Schizosaccharomyces pombe: one gene and its partners. Changing the gene in region 1 together with any one later gene gives a genetic interaction. Each region holds a gene or a part of one and is shown on either strand. Other genes may lie near its edges. The genes, in order: luc7, SPOM_SPCC4B3.06C and mug117.

What was found.
Region 2: mutations in luc7 (region 1) and SPOM_SPCC4B3.06C together harm fitness more than expected from each alone (negative genetic interaction), as found in Schizosaccharomyces pombe (one large-scale study listed by BioGRID).
Region 3: mutations in luc7 (region 1) and mug117 together harm fitness more than expected from each alone (negative genetic interaction), as found in Schizosaccharomyces pombe (one large-scale study listed by BioGRID).

Annotation. Positions count from the first base shown.
Region 1 is NC_003421.2:890,614-894,346, forward strand, and holds luc7 (U1 snRNP-associated protein Luc7), read left to right. Parts: upstream 1-1,898; 5' UTR 1,899-2,106; coding exon 2,107-2,901; 3' UTR 2,902-3,223; downstream 3,224-3,733. Other genes in the region: ubiquitin hydrolase Ubp1, read right to left, coding at 1-1,053, 1,279-1,598; RSC complex subunit Sfh1, read left to right, coding at 3,558-3,733. UniProt on the Schizosaccharomyces pombe protein: Component of the U1 snRNP particle, which recognizes and binds the 5'-splice site of pre-mRNA. Together with other non-snRNP factors, U1 snRNP forms the spliceosomal commitment complex, that targets pre-mRNA to the splicing pathway.
Region 2 is NC_003421.2:1,163,345-1,166,516, forward strand, and holds SPOM_SPCC4B3.06C (NADPH-dependent FMN reductase), read left to right. Parts: upstream 1-1,843; coding exon 1,844-2,446; 3' UTR 2,447-2,530; downstream 2,531-3,172. Other genes in the region: protein Nro1, read right to left, coding at 1-706. UniProt on the Schizosaccharomyces pombe protein: Has several reductase activities that are NAD(P)H-dependent and involve FMN as a cofactor. May be involved in ferric iron assimilation.
Region 3 is NC_003421.2:1,256,126-1,259,473, forward strand, and holds mug117 (protein mug117), read right to left. Parts: upstream 1,369-3,348; coding exon 808-1,368; 3' UTR 669-807; downstream 1-668. Other genes in the region: cca2 (ATP/CTP tRNA nucleotidyltransferase), read left to right, coding at 1-465, 525-668; SPOM_SPCC645.12C (uncharacterized protein), read right to left, coding at 1,551-2,147; bye1 (transcription elongation regulator), read left to right, coding at 2,509-3,348.

The DNA of each region.
Region 1 (3,733 bases):
AGATACATGAACGGATCAAACGCAGTTGATTTTTGATAGCATATGGAGCACTCTAAGGTGCTTTTATACATTCCTTGAAACAACTGAACAATTATGGAATCATTTCGTTTTGTATGAATATCCCAACATTGATTTGCAACTCTCTGAACATGTAATGGGTGTTCGTCAAATAAATCTGGCCTTTCAAAGTATGGTTTTATCTGAATTCGATTCAAATCTTCGTGTAACCCGTCTAAGAAAAAGGCGATGAATTCCTGAGAATCTTGCTGACGATATCCAGAAAAATAGGTATTAAACTCGCCAATTATAAATTTGAAAGAACTAGGTGACACCGAGTGCATATCAGCAGTATGATGGATCATCTTCAGTAGACTAGCATAAGACAAGGCAACTTTCCCCATCATTCCCAACGGATTGTTGTAATTAATATCCTTTTCATAAGAATCACTAAGAAAATATTTTGTAAGTTCGTGTGTATGTATCATACATTGAAGGGCAGAATTCATATAGCATGAATTACCCAAATTGTAAAGACCGCAGAGTCCGATTTCTTTATTTATTGTTAAATTTTGCTCTTTGGTTATAGAGTCAGATAACCACTCTCCGTTAGGATGTTGAAACTCGAGCAATAAGCTTCCATCGGCAATATCTATTTCGAAAATAGTCATGCAAACAGCATACTCGGAAAGCAAAGCAATCGCAGGTTGATCATTGAACTCCGACAAACTTACAAACCTAGAAGATAGATTACTTTTGTTTAGATACCATAAACGGAAAGAAGTACCATCAGATATTTGGAAAGCTTCCATCACTTGTTTGTACAAAGACCGAAGGGTATCACTTCGGGAAAAGCTAAACGCATAGGGTTCATCACTATGATATGGTTCATCAATTTGGTATAATGGTGAATAGCTCGTGTTTTCACCGTTTATTGGGTCGAATAAAACGTGCAAAGTAAAGTTTATAGGATAGATATCTACGAATGGCTTTTGCTCAGCAGCCAATCCTACCAAAAGAACTTTTCGCTCTATAGCTAGACCTTCTAATCCAAACCTATATTTGAGTTAGCTAATAACATAATGGGAATTGAAAAGAGGCCTCAAAATCCAAGGGAACCTATATATTTAGGCACCGTGGGAAGTAATGCAAACTACATAAATTAATGAAATATTCAAAACTAAGACACAATGCTTTCAAAACATATATGAATATGAGTTTTGAATTTAATTAATAATGCCTTTTACAAGTACTGTAGAGACCTTTAAAGAAAATTCATACCACTCAACAAGCATATGCCATAGCGAAGCAGAGACAATGCTATAATCAATAGATTCCTCCAAAGAATGTTTAAGCTCGTTTTTTTCATCCAGCAGCCTCCATTGAGTTATAGGACCAGGGTTGTCGCCTTCTCCATATATAAAGTCAACGTATCCTTCGAACCAGTCATAGTCAATTAAAAAGGCAGTTTTTTCTTTTTTCCATTTTTCTTTATCCTCTTTAATTAAATTTATCGAATCTTGGAACGGCAATGAAGCAGGTTGGTCGATCCAAATTTGGGAATATCGAGTGCTTGCGTTTTGAGTAGCAGTTGATGCCATTCTCAAAACATGGTCATTTATTCGTTATATTTTTGTTTCTTCAAGTTCCACTCTTATAAATTGCAAAAAATTGGGGGAATGGAGTTGTTGGTTTAAGTAAACTTGTTGTACCAAATGGTGAAAAAGGATTTATACAGGTGACGCATATTGCTGCCCTCTGTCAAGTTTGAGTTTTCAACAACAATTTGTAAAAGTTGATCTAATCGAAAGAATAAAGTATCAATATATTGCCTCGTCTATATTTAACGATTTAGAAATAGCAACTTTTGAACTTTTCCGGGAAATTTTTTTTTGAATTTTAACCCAACAAGCTACTCAAATTACATCTCAATCAAATTTGAGCGATTGTAAACTTTAATTTTGATTTAATTGTGAATAAAGGAAAAAATTCTTTATACTACTTGTAAAACCTAGTGAAATTTTCTATTCATTTTACAGCGTTTGTCGAAAACCCACAAATAGGACATCAGCAGAGATAAAATTACATTTTGCCGAAAATACACTTATTATGGCCGCTGAACAGAGGAAAATCATAGAACAGTTGATGGGCAGTAATTTGAGTAACTTTACCTCTCGAGGCCTAGTACATTTCACTGATCGCAAAGTTTGCAGAAGCTTTTTATGTGGTATTTGTCCTCATGATATATTTACAAATACTAAAATGGATTTGGGGCCTTGTCCAAAGATCCACAGTGACAAGTTGAAGTCGGATTATGAACGGGCTAGTTATTCACATGACTATGGCTACGAGTGGGATTATCTGGAAGACCTAGAAAGACATGTTGATGACTGTAATAAGCGTATTGATATTGCTGAAGCTCGTAGAGAAAAAACAAAAGAGGAGGAAGAACGGATAGATGAGCTAATGCGAGATATAATACATACCGACCATTCAATTGAAGTTATTATTACAGAAATGGAGGCGCTTGCAAAAAGAAAATTAGTGAATGATGCAGTTAAACATTTTATTGAGCTTAATAGGTTGAAGACATACAGGAAAGAATTATATGATGAAGTGATTTCCATGAATGAAATTCCCAGTCAGGCTAGCACAACGCATCAAAAGCTACAAGTATGTGATATTTGTAGCGCTTATCTTTCAAGATTAGACAACGATCGTCGTTTAGCTGATCACTTCTCAGGAAAAATGCATCTTGGATATGCCATGCTGCGAAATATTGCTAGGGATCTTCGAGCTCAATTAGAGGACCGTGAAAAATCCCGTGATAAAAAGGACGGAGAGAAACAAAGAGATAATTTAGCTTCTTTTGAAGATAAAATCTCAACTTCCTTTGTTGCATAACCTACATTTCGTAATGAAAAAGTGGAGGATCTCAACTAACCGCCTTTATTCGCTTAGTGATGCCTTTTACGCAGACCTATATAGAATCTTATTATTATGTTTACCTTTTTACGTTTATGGTTGTTTCCTTACTTGCTTTTTTACAATATTCTTCATGTCATGCACAAAATAAGTGTACCTCTTATATTTTATATTCGTTTATTTCTAATCTCACAAGGTATATTGATATATGTATTTCAATTTGAATAACAGCTATAAGTATATCCTTAAAATAAAGCAGGAATAAACTCTTTGCCTTAATATTGTCGTACTAACCCAACCATCCTTACTTGTCCTTCAGCAACTGTTTGTTTTGGAGAATCTGAAATCGAAAGGAGTCAAACTATTTTACTAAATTAACTTTTTATTTTATTTTGTATAGATATCCTTGAAAATTCTGTGATTCGAAAGTCCAGTGGCAATGTAGAAGTATTAAACGTTTATCAACGGTTCTACCAAATCAGGGCCGATAAAAGAACTCTCGATTATAATTTACGTTTAATACAATCATATAGAATAAATAAAAACATAACATAGTACTTCCAACTGTAAATTGACTTGCGGCTTACATAGTGTTTTTTGGCATACTTGTGCAAACTACCGACTTCACAATTTACATGGCTCAAGCTTGTAAAACCACATACTCATCTCGTTTGAAAACGGGAAATACATGCTTAATCCAAAAAAATGTTGCAGTATCGACTAGGTCGCATTCTTCGTATACAGGCAGAAATTCGTTGAGAAATGTTCCAGCGGTTAATTACGCCGCATTCGAACAAGGTGAGGATTTTGA
Region 2 (3,172 bases), 270 kb from region 1:
ATAATGGGCGTAAAGAATCGGGGGTAAGAGCATCAAAATATTCAGTGGAATCCTGAGCAAGAGGACGAAGGTATTGGATGGCCTTCTCAATATATGGGTTTACCAACTGAGTGACCGGGATGTTGGCAAGAGATTCCTCGTTATCGTGACGCCAAACAAGAACACGTACCTTCTCAAGGTAAGCACGAGCAAGAGCAAGGAAAAGTCTCGATTCGTTGCCAGGAGCATCCAAGCCAAGTTGAGCTCTCTCGATTGCAGCATCTATGTAGGATTCTTCGGTATTGGTTTCCTTAAGACGCTTTTGTGCAATTTCGAAAAGCTCGGACACAGCCAAAAGAGCGGAGGAATAGGCCGCGTGAAAGTCCTTGGGTAATGTAGAAATGTCCTCGGTATTCCGTAATATTCTATCAGCCTCGTGAATGGTACCAAAGACAAGGCTCACACTAGCATCTATATCGTCATTTTCCAACTTTTCGCGACTCATCTCGTATAAACCCCAAAGTTGTGAAATATTGTCTTCCTCTGTGTAAACAAGCATTGTCTCATCCTCCATTTCTCCATTGTCGACATTTTCGCTTCCGTTTTCCTTACTAGGAGACGAGTTTCCTGACAGCTCATAAGAGGCTTCTTGCTTTTGTTTTTCAAGCTGCTGCTGCTTCTTTAAAGAAGCAGCAGCGCGTAGACCTTGAGGTCTTCTTCCAATCATAACGAACCGTTAAATTAACCTGTTTTGCTAAGGCAGCGTTGACATCGAGTGATTTTTTCTACCCAAAAATCGCGCGGGAAACTTGTTAGCAAGTTACAACGTAATGTGGTATTGTTGTTGCGTTGTCGGCCATGTGCGTTAAACCTAATAAGAGCATGGCGTAACAAAAACAATACCGTCGTTTTGTGGCTGTGGAAAACGAGTTACCAGAAGCTTGGAGAACTTGACATGTTAAAATGTATTAGTGGAAAGTATAGAGGCTCGTAATACAGTCGTACATATTGACTTGTTTACAAAAATTGATGATTTTAAATTGTGAAGGGGAAGCTTATTTTAAACATCTAATTATGCAGCAAGATACATTAACACGTTTTGGATTTTCATTGTTAAAAAAAAAGAGCAAAATTAAAAAGGAGATGGAAGAAAGTAAAGCTTTATGACTTCAGCGGATCTAGAGCAATTGAAGTAAACATATCTAGCCGAAATTTAACTTAGTAAATTGATTAAGATAGGTTTCTGTAAAGGAGATCTATGATATTCAAAATGCGGCAATATTTCTTAGGGCTTATGGCGCAAAAAGGTGCTATACAAAATTGCCAGCACGAGATAACATTGAAGATTTGGCAGTTTTGTAATGTAACGCTAATCTTTATTAAACAATAATATAATACGAAATCGCAACTTTTATGTGGTTTTGACCGTTTCTTTGGCAGGGAATTTGAATTCGTTTCTTAGTTTTTGAACGATATCTGATCAACGAGTTTGTTTATTTTAATTTTTTTAAACGGCTGCTTTATGGTAATGGACCAAGATTGCTCCAGCACCTTAAAAATACAGCACTAGTATATATATTTCGGTCGCCATATCAATAAATTACTTGATTCAGGTGCCGAAGTAATAAGTACTTAGGATGAATGTACTAGATGAAATTGAAAGTTTGTTAGCCAATTATAAAACAAAATAAAGCCTTTTTTACCATTTGATGACAGAATTTCTAATTTTTTTAATATTACTAAGTTATCTTGAACAATTAGTCATGTCCGAGGCTCGGACATAACAACATGCTAGTTTATAAAAGCACTACATTGTTTCACACAGTAAAAGAATACTCAGATATTCATTTACATTATTAACATCATGACCTTGCCTGAAAAATTACTGAAGATTACTCCCAAAATCCTGGTTATTATGGGAAGCGTTCGCAGCAAACGCTTATGTCCAACTATTGCAACGTGGGTTGGTGAGATGGGAAAAAGAGAGACTAATTTTGACTACGAAAAAGTTGATTTAACTGATTGGCCTCTATCTATGAGCGATGAACCCGGACTTCCAATTATGGGAATAGATGTGTACACTCAGGAACATACTAAGGCCTGGGGGTCCAAAATTGCTGGAGCAGATGGTTTTGTTTTTGTAACTCCGCAATACAATGGTGGATATCCTGCAATCCTTAAAAATGCCTTAGACCACTTGTATCACGAGTGGAATGGAAAACCGCTTTTGATTGTAAGCTATGGTGGCCATGGAGGAGGAGATTGTGCTTCGCAACTAAAACATGTTGCCGGTTTTCTTAAGATGCGAGTCGCGCCTACCATGCCAGCGCTCACGTTACCCAGAGATAAAATTGTTCAAGGTGTAGTCGACCCAGCGGTTGAATTTACAAAGCACCTTGGTGAACTTAAGAAAGCCTTCGGTGAGTTTTCTCAGTTGTTTGAAAGCAATCCTGAAAGGAAACCCTAGATAATTAAAACATAAGAGTATTTTGAAAGCTAGTATAGAGTGCATTTAATAAAGTCTGTTTTTTGTTTTTTTTTAAAAAGCCAATTTTCCAGTAAATCTGTTTGGTTTTAGATTTTATTCACATGGATAGATCTATTACTGTCATATCAACTTACCAATGGACTCTAATACCTTAATCCTTCCTGCTGTTCGTGTTGCCTAATGAAGGATTTTTAGCACGCATGTATTAGTAAACACGGTTCATATTCAGTCATTGTGTAATACGAATTTGTTCAGCAGTAAAAGTTCCCTTTAAAATTATATTTTAATACAATTTCAGTGAAGCTATTCGTGTTTTTCGTTTATAAGAAAAAGGACATAATTACTACTTGAAAAACTGCTTTGTTTTGACTGTTAACATGTCAAGAAAATATGTACACACATGTAGTCGTTATGAATAATATGCATTATAAGCATTATGATATGGTCTCGGGTAGTCAGGCCTCTGAACCTTATACCAGTCTACAATACTATCGGTTTTAGGTATACTTTGAAGGGATTTTAGTTTTCAAGACAACGGCTCAATACACGAGACTATGAAATATCTAAACAAATTAACTAGATTTGACTAGAGAAAATGTAGAATTTACTGCTAATTCTGCCAAATCTTTTGTGGTTCCCTATTTTCTTACATGGTGATACGATCTCTGGTTAGCGCAATCCTTTCTCTTGTCTCCCACATTCCTA
Region 3 (3,348 bases), 370 kb from region 1:
GCTACCGAGTCTTTATTTCAGAGTCTTGCATTGACGTTTCCTAAACTTATGAAATTAAGTGAAGATGAGAAAATTGGGCTATGGCTATATGTTGCTCTAATTCCATGGTCTAGTCAAACTGTTATGGTTAAGAAAAAACAATTTTATATTCCTGCAATCATCGCAAAAGACAAGTTGAAGCTCAGAAGTACATATGTTAACCAGTTGAATCAGTGCTGCACATTCAATCCGATATTCGATGAATTAGTTAACGATACTTCCACTAAAAATTGCTCATCTATTGGCAGCTTAATACGACAATTGAATAAATCCTGGGAAGTCGTGTTTTTAACATCGGTCATATATAGTTGTTGTAAAACACCGGCAGCATCTGTATCAAATACATTTAGTTCTTATAAATCTCTATATGACTTTATTTATGACAAAAATTTACAAAATGCTTATAACATGAAGCCATTATTAGACGTATGTAATTCTTTTATTTCTGTTAACAATATTGAGCGAATAAGCTAACAATTTTTTAGGGAAAACAGATCATGAAAAATGTGGGAGTTAAGCCTGGCCCGCAGCTGAAAGAGACTATGGATAACATGATTTCCTGGCAATTTAAACACCCTGAAGGAAGTGTCGAAGATTGTGTTGCATACCTTCAATCCCTAAAAATATAAGAAAAGACAATCACTGTTTAGATAACTTAATCGCACAAAAGATTAAAAGAATAAAAGTCACCAGTAATCGTCGTCCTTTTTGGAAATTCGTATTTATGATATTTATGCTTAATTCAGAATGGATCCTTTCCTCTTATTATTACCAATCTCTAACCGGCTCTCGATAATCGTATTCGCTGGTGCTTGGTGTAATTTCGGTACAGTCTGGATAACAGTAGTTCAATTTGACATAGCATCTTGTGTTTTCATTATCATTATTAAAAAAACGAGTTCCACAAGCGGAACATTGCAAATTTAATTGATCAAATTCATCAATGATTTCGTTGCCTGTGCGTGCTGGATAATCACCTTCGCACTCATAAATGGCAGTGCAAGAACTAGCTGTATAAGAAGAATATCCATGGTAGATCAAGGATCTATTATACTTCATGTACGCGTTCGGACACGCACGATTTTCTCCTCGAAGCATAGGGCAAAGAAATGAGCCCTTACAGTTATTAGGATGAACCGAATTATCATATCCAAGCATGTTAAATAAACTTCTTCGATAGTTTGAAGTAATTCGAGAGCCTTTTGCTTCTGGCTCAAAGACAGTACTAAGATCACTTCTAATTGGGACTGCAATGCATATGTAAATGCAGATTCCGTATATGAATAGGAACAAAGTTAATTTCTCTGTTACACAACAAAATTTCCACATTCCTTCCGAAATATTAATATATATTAAATATGCAAAAGTGTTTAAAGCAATGCTTCTTATTTGCAATTATTCTTAATTAATTAATATTTTTCTTTTGGTTAAGGAAAGAATATGTAATATAAACAGTATTCTTTTAGTTGGTGTCAATATTTTTGTTTGTTTTTAAGATCGTAAACAGAGCTTTACAAACCCCAAAGCAAGGTGTCTTCATCTAGTGAAGCATCCGAGTCATTATTAGATAAATTGCTAGATTCTTTAACAGAAAAGTTATTTTTTTTAGTTTCAAACCTTTTTTGTTTCAAACGACGGATAAGATCCCTCGACTCACCCAATTTGCTTTCTTCTTCATAAAGAATATCATAAACTTCTGGTTCTAAATCATTATCTGCAATTTCATTTTCTTCATCCTTTTCGGCCAATAACTGTTGCTGTTGGAGTGTTATTTCTTGTTCAACAGCATTTTCCTCAATAATGCCAATCTCATTTTGAAAATCGTTCCACTCTTCTTCAATTAGTTCTTTATTTTTAGCAATAGATTCATCAAAAAAGTTTTCTGGAAGTGCGGACACCGCTCGTGTATCCTTAGGAGGTTCTGTAGATTGCTTTTCATTAAAATCACTTACTGCCAGCTCACGAGATTGATCACGACCTAAATTTTCAAATGATTTATGATCTCTCGTCTTCTGACGCTTCAGTTCTTGACTAGAGGCTTTCAGACCTCGCTTTTGCCCTAATCGCTCTTGTTTTACTTTCCTCAGTAACTCTCGTGCACTACTCATATTTTTGAAGCTCCTTTTCTAACAATATTCACATTTAATCGTAAAATATTGCATTCGAACTATAAAATAGCATGTATCCTTAGTTTTCGCAGATTTTGCACCTTTGCTATAACAAACTACAACACTGCTGCCACTTGCCAATAACCCATACCTGCCAACACCTTGTTTTTTAGAACTCTTGACGAGCTTTTGTGAGGATATTAAACACTTCAGGAACGACTTTTGTTTAGTTATGCATATATTTTAATCTCCTCAGTTTATTTAGTACGCATTCAATCACTTGTTATTCGAATTGCATGTATTAACCTTGAAGTACAGATGTCATTGATCAAAATACTTTTTATTCCCATAATAACGAAGCATGGTAAGAAAAAGCACTAGAAGGACGGCAAAAGCCTCAGAAAAACCTCCTGAAACTGTTGTTCGGTGTGTTTGTAAATCGCAAGAAGACATTGGCGATACGTGGGTTCAATGTGATGGGTGTGATTGCTGGCAACATGCCAGTTGCGTTGGATTAGCGGATAAGGATATACCTGAAAGCTACTATTGTGAAGTTTGTCATTCGCGAAGCGACGTTTCATCACAAGTACAAAATTCTCCCAATAAGGATGAAGAGCATCAGACAGCTGATTTACTTGCCTCTAATGAAGGGAACGAGAAAAACAATGAAGAAAATAATGTTGTATCTTCTGATTCAAAAGAGGCGATTACTAAAGAGTCAGGCGCTGAACTAGAATCATCCGAGCCTGCTTCGACAAATTCTAATGTTGGAATGACTACTAGGTCTGGTCGACAATCTCCTAGGACTCCTATTGGCTCCACGACACCAAAAAGTTCTCATTCTCCACCTTCAACTCGAAAACGAAGAGGCAGTGTTGGTACGACGGCTACTCATACCAAACGTAGCAAGAATGCACCAAAAACATCTCCTAAGGATGCTTCCAATGAAACTGCAGATCAGGAAAAGGAGCTTAGTTTACACACTTCTATCGATGAAATTCAAAACCCTGTTAGAAAAAGTGTTGCCAAAGCCTGGGTTTCCGTTTTTGAAAAAATCATTGAGAAAGCAAAACTTGAAGGTGTGCAAGGATTAGAAGACCTTAATTCTACATCCTTAGCGCTTCAGCTTGAGCATATTATGTTTATGGTGCTTTCGTATACAACTGATCATTCGTTAACTCCGAACAACAAATATCGAGAG